Linked DNA regions of Mus musculus: region 2 is reported to be linked to region 1. Evidence: microRNA targets listed by miRTarBase, many of them from high-throughput screens and not tested one by one. Region 1 holds a microRNA gene; the other region holds the end of a gene's coding sequence.
Evidence for each region. Region 1 holds the annotated microRNA mmu-miR-3087-3p (UAACUCACUGUCAUGUCCUCA, at 1,572-1,592, opposite strand). A microRNA usually pairs through its seed, bases 2 to 8, with sites in the 3' UTR of a target mRNA and lowers its output. Matches are read on the target gene's strand: a 7mer-m8 pairs with bases 2 to 8, a 7mer-A1 pairs with bases 2 to 7 and ends in A, and an 8mer does both.

Region 2: miRTarBase lists Uvssa as a target of mmu-miR-3087-3p. Seed matches in the 3' UTR shown: 7mer-m8 at 2,115-2,121.

The regions. Positions count from the first base shown.
Region 1 is chr2:25,441,280-25,444,404 of GRCm38, reverse strand. It overlaps Mir3087 (microRNA 3087), which reads right to left and starts at 1,626; the gene lies at 1,571-1,626. It overlaps Abca2 (ATP-binding cassette, sub-family A (ABC1), member 2), which reads right to left. Exons shown (of 49, transcript NM_001368624.1): 25 at 3,033-3,125; 26 at 2,806-2,926; 27 at 2,294-2,530; 28 at 2,008-2,214; 29 at 1,653-1,755; 30 at 1,251-1,570; 31 at 963-1,176; 32 at 771-876; 33 at 568-679; 34 at 418-478; 35 at 161-335; 36 at 1-80.
Region 2 is chr5:33,414,448-33,417,518 of GRCm38, reverse strand. It overlaps Uvssa (UV stimulated scaffold protein A), which reads right to left. Exons shown (of 14, transcript NM_001081101.2): 14 at 1-2,721. The coding sequence ends at 2,628. Among named protein-coding and RNA genes, the nearest start is that of Nkx1-1, 18 kb to the left of the region's middle.

The sequences.
Region 1 (3,125 bases):
TTGGTGGGTGATGTGTAGGCAGGTAAGTCAAAGACAAAGAGGATGATCACGCAGCAGGTGGCTGGGACCAGGTAATTGAGCTGCAAAGGTGAAGGTGGAGGATGAGACCCGGGCGTAGGGATGGGAGTCAGGGACAGGGAGGGACCATGCGGGGGCACACCATGTCCCACACGTAGTTGGCCAGCCAGTAGATGACAGGGTTGCACCCGCTGACGAACTGCAGGTGTTTGGCCTTGGTGGATTTCTCTGCCACAAGGAAGACCACAAAGCTGGCTGGCACGAAGGACATGGCCACAATGATGAAGATGGCGATGACCACATCTGTGCCCTGCAGTCTAGAAGGGGACAGCACTCAGTTCCAGGAGGTGTCAGGACGAGGTGGTCCTGCCCCTCCTCAACTTGGTCTGCCTCACTCACAGGTAATCCAGGGAGAGGCTAGCACTGGTCTTGTTCATGGGGTGGTTGGTGACGGTGATGCCTGCACACGGGAAAAGGGTAGCTTTAGGTCCATGCAACCATTCGGCTCAGCTGCATCCCTGCCTGTCCTTCAACCCTGATTCTCCTTACCATAGGCTGCTGGATTGCCCTTGCTTTTGGGTAGGTTTGCACGCAGAATGGCATTGTTGAGGCTGTTGAGGTAGGTGGGCATGCTGTGGTAGCCCTTGTTATTGTAGAGCACCTGGGGAGGGGCAAGGACCTCAGAGAGGCTCAGAAACCAAAAGTTATTAGGCTTAGGACCAGGTGCCCAAAACCCAAGGGCAGCCGCCTACCTGAGCCACCCTCCGCACTGCAATCTTCCGCACCATAGGAGGGACCCGGGCACCAAAGGATGCTGGGATAGACTTCTGAACATTACCAAAGGTGATGGCTCCATATCTGTACAAGACAGGTGGGAGGGTCACTGAGGCTCGGCAGCCATCTGCCAGGCACCCCTTGTTCACAGCCACTTCAGGCCAACTTACCGGTGTAGTCGGAAACGGTCAGAGGTGAAGAGCAGGTACTCAGAAACATTGTGGCCAGTGATGTCAGTCAGGATGTCACCTGTGACCACTCTCATCTGGGGTGGGTGTCCACCCACACTGCTGGGGCATGAGAACCCCGTGCCCTGTGCAGAGCAGGTACAGCGGACTGGCTCATGCACTAGGCGTGGCAGAGAAGGCGCCGACGTCCACGTCTCTGTGGGCACAGTGCAGCACAATGAGATGGGTCACTCATGCCTGTGCCCCCCGGAGCCTTCCCTGAGGTAGTACCTGGCCCAGCAGTAGGTGGCAGGGACATGTTCCAGGCTTGCAGTGAATCCTCATCTGGGGACACGGGTGAGTCAGAAGGGGCGGGTGAGGGCGGAGGTGGCACGAAGTTGGACAGTGGCAGCCCCTGTGTGAAGGACTCCAGGCACATACTGTCGAAGAACCGTGCCGCCAGCAGGCGGGACTCTCCACTGCTTAAGTTCAGCATGGGTCCCAGGGAGCCGTTGGCAGGAGACTTGAGCACACAAGTGGCACCCACACCAGAGGGCAGCCGGAATGTGCTCACCAGCTGCTGGGGGCTGGCATCAGGTGACAGCCGTAATCTGAGGACATGACAGTGAGTTAGGAGCCATAAGTCTCAACTCTTGCCCTGCCCTGTGCTACAGCCCCAGCCCACGGCCTCACCGGTACTCCTGGCGTTCCTCATTGGCATAAGGGATAAAGTTGCCACGGGGCTGGGTGTAGTTGTGGTACTGAGAGGGTGACAGGACCAGTGGAGGTAGGTCACCTGATGGGTGAATACGGAGACCTGAGCAGACTGCAGTTATCTGATGCCAGCCCCAGCCCTAACACAGAGAGGGCTGAGCTTGTGGGGATGACTCCTAAGGAGACAGATCCTCTCATGAGCCCCTGAGTAAGGTTCAGAGTGTGAGGAGAGGAGCTCAGGACTGTTCTACAGGGGGCTGGGAGAAAAATGAAGCCAAGACCCAGGGGCAAGACAGTAGCCTCGCCCCAGACCACATGGGCCAGGCACCCTTACCAATCTCAGGGACAGACAACGCCACAGTCATGGCCACACAGACAAAGAAGGCAGGCAGCAGAATCTGAGAGCAGAGAGCTTTGGAGTTCCGACGAGCACAGTGGAAGCGCTTCACCAGGAGCCCATGGAACTGCCGCATCTTCAGCCACCAGCCCTCGAGTTTGCGGCTGCCCTGGCCCACCTGAGCCAGGGCCTCCATCTCTGCCTCTGTGCAGAGAGGCAGAGGTAAATAGCCAGTCCCACGCCACCCTTCTGGACCCTCCCCAGTTTCCCCATTGGCTTCCACCTTGTAAGCTGACATTGTCTGGGTCCTGCAAGTTGTCAAAGAGGGGACGGTAGTCACCGTAGCCATCAGAGTAGCCGGTGCCCTCCTCCCCACGGGCAGAGCCCACAGAGGATGCAGACTGCAGCGATGCCTGTGACTGTGCCAGCTCTGAGCACCGAGCCAGGTTGCCAGCTTGACCCCCCACAGCTGTCAGGCCCTCTGCCCCAGGCAGCACATCCTTCCGGGACTCCTTCACATCTGCAAACAACAGAGGCGGTGAGGGAGGGAAGGCTTGGGCCAAGGCTCTCCTCTCCAGGACATCTTAGTACCTCAGTCCCTAGTGTCCTCCCATAACCCCAGGCCCTGCCTTGATCCCAGCCTCTAATTCACATACCTACTCACAGGTAGGCAGAGCTACCATACCATCCACCACGAGCCTATCCTGACCCCACTTCCAGAGACTTACAGAGAAGCAGTGTCCCCAGGGCCTTCTGTGGGTAGCTGGACAGACCGCCAGCCTTGGGTGCTCTTACCAGCCTCGCTGTTCTCCAGTGACTGATCTTCTTCAGACACCTTGAGGAACACCTCCTCCAGAGTTGTGTCCATCAGCCCAAAACTGCTCAGATGGAGCGCATCCAGGCTGTGTTCCAGTTGCTGCAAAGAGATCGGGTAAGGCAGCGCCACGGAACGCAGGCAGCGACGTGTCCTTCTTCTCTCCGGGCCCCTCGTGTCCCTAGCCACCACAGCCAGCCCCACACACCTGAAAGAGGCGCTCGAAGGCCCCCTTCTTGACGGCCTCGCTGGGCAGGATGTAGGAGAGCTCGGTGCTCGTGTCTGAGACCAGCAGGGAGGA
Region 2 (3,071 bases), not on the chromosome of region 1:
GTCCTTTTTCCTCTCTTCAGTCTAAAGAATTGCTTTTGGTATCCTCTCTAGGACCAGTTTGGTGGGCATGAATTCTTTTGGCGTGTTTATACCACAGAGCATTTTCCTCTTTCCTTCAACTATGGCAGGAAGTTATGCTGGGTACAGTACTGTAAGTTGGTATCCATGGTCTTTTAGACCTTGAAGTACCCTGGTCCAGACTCTTCTGCCTTTTACAACTTCCACTGGGAATCAGCTGTTGTTTTGATGGGTTTCCTTTACATGTTCCCTGTTCCTAGTCTCTCTAGGACTTTTATTATTTTATTATATTGGATTTTGTCAAAGGTGTTTTCTGCATCTATTGAGATAATCATGTGATTTTAAAAAAATCCTTAAGTAGACACTATTTAACAAAAGTCCATGTATACGAACAGGAAATCTCCTAAGTTGTGGCCAGGGAGTTAAGAGACTATCAAAATGACATAGGTGAATGTTGTTGCCCTTAGCTGCCTCCCAGAACATGACGGTGAGAATGACTGCTAAAGATAACAGCAACTGTCTTCATATGTGATGACAAAGAAGAGATCATGAATTTGAAAAAAGGGCATGGGAGAACCTGGAGAAGGCAGGAGAGGTGGAAATGATGTGAGCACAGTCCTCTTGTATAGAATTCTCAGAAAAGCAAAAGAAACAAAGACACCAGTGATGGCATGAAGCCCTCAGGAAGCAGAGCAGAGTGAGTGTAAATGGTGCAGCCACCATCCAACAGCTTAGCCCCTCACAAGGAGGTTACTATACGCATCGGTGATGTACAGAAACAGTTGTCCACACACAAAAAAGCACAGATATTCACGGTAGCCCTAAGGTAGGAACAGACCAAACATCAATAACAAATCCATGGAGACAGGCCATGGTGGCGCCTTTAGTCCCGGGGCTTGGGAGGCAGAAGCAGGAGGATCTCTGAATTGGAGGCCAGCGTGATCTACAAAATGAGTTACCGGACAGTCAGGGTTCCAAAGAGAGACCATGTCTCAAATGAGAGGGTGGGTGTGGCAATGACAAAATATGACTCCATTCACTGTGATTTTGTGTGTGTGTGTGTTTACCTATGTGTGGGCAGATGTCTATGGGCATATGTGAATTTTCATATTATAGGCCAAAGGTTGTAGTTGAGTGTTTCCCTTCACTGTTCTCCACTCTATTTACAGAGGCGGAGTCTCTTGCTGAATCCAGAATGCACTGATTTTGGCTAGTCTCCTTACTGAGTTTGCCCCAGAGATCCTGTCTCCTCTCACCAAGGGCAGGATTACAAGCAGATTACCATAACCACTTGACTTTTATATGGACTCAGTCCTCATAATTACATGCAAGTGCTTTACCTGCTGAGCCACCTCCCTTGTCCTCTGCTGAGGTCCGTGTGTGTAAGAAGCAGGACTGAAGGACTGCTATCACAACATGGAAGAAACTTCAAAGGCAAAGAAGCTGGAACAGAAGGGCATACTCAGCCAGGAGCCATCGTACACGCCCTTAATCTCAATACTGAAGAGGCAGAGGCAGGAGGATCTCTGAGTTGGAGACCAGCCTGGTCTACACTGTGGGCTCTAAGACTGCCAGAGCTACATAAAGAGACCACATCTCAAAACAAAAACAAAAGCCGCAGACCCAATTACTCTAAATGCATAGGCATGGAAAGAGAAAGCGGGCTTCGAGGTGGTCAGGCAGTTTGTCTGAACACTAAAGTTCTGGAAGCCAGTGGAGTCACTTGTTATACACTGTGCATAACCTGGGTGACTACATGGTATGTGAGTTAGGGCTCAACACACCTGGTCCAGAGTGGTGCCAGGAGCTGGACATGTGTATTAAACAGCATATGCATGAAAGGGTGGATTGCTGAAGGCATCATAAAGTACATAGCACCACTAGGGACACACTTACTGCCCAAGGGCTGGCCAGATGGAGTGCCTGCCCCTATCCAACTCCAATGCAGGTACGTCATCCTGAAGGGATATTTTTTTCCCTCAGAGACATACTCTGCTTATGTAAGTTTGGCTGGCTTAGAATTTACAACTTAGACTAGCTTAGCTGTTTGTTTGTTTTAAAGACAGGGTTTCTCTGTGTAGCCCTGGCTGTCCTGGAACTCACTCTGTAGAACAGCCTGGCCTCAAACTCAGAGATCCACCTGCCTTGCCTTCTGAGTGCTGGGATTAAAGATGTGCCTACCATGCCTGGCAACTAGGTTAGCTTTGAACTTGTATTGATCTTCCTGCCCTGCCTGTTAAGTGTAAAAATTACAGGTGTGCGTCACCTCATCTGGCTTTTTGTTCTTGTTTCTCAAGCAGTCTTGCTCTGTTATCCATACTGGCCTAGGATTCAGGTCCTGTTTATGTCCAAGTGCTGGGATTACAGGTGAGGTACCACATGTGTGGTTAAAATGGTTGGGAATCAAACCCTGGCCTCACCACTAAACCATATCCCCTGGCCTCCTGGAGAGTATTTTAATGCATCACTACATTGTTACATACAGAAAAAACAAGCTCTGATTCTACTCAGACTTAAGTCTATTCTCCTTCCTATCCTAGTAAGCTAACGAACGGAGAAGAGCTGACGGCCAAAGGGGACCACAGCATATTCAGCACACCCACACCCTTTTACTTCAGCGCATAATTAAATTGGTTTGCAAACTTCTCGTGTTTCTTCTGGTCCATCTGGTTCATGGCAGCAACTACTCTCTGCACGGCTGCCCTATGGAGAGAGAGCACAGTAAGAAGTGACAGGACTTGACAGACTTGACAGGACTCTGGAGTCCTAGTTTGGCTTGCTGCTTCTGGACCTCATAAAGGTTTCCAGTGGAACTTCTGTAAGGTAGTGCTCAGACAGAGCAGGGGAACCCGGTCTGTTACCCACCACAGGTCTTGGCTATGTCTCCTTGCAACTGAAGGCAGTTGCAAGACCCCATGCTTGCTAATCCCAGGCTGCACTCTAGGATGAAGGCACAACTGAACATGGGTTGCAGGTCCAGAGGTAAGGGCCCCAGAAAGGGCTGTAGGAAAAAGCAGGAGGCCTATGTGGACCAGCCTCCACCCCACCCCAAG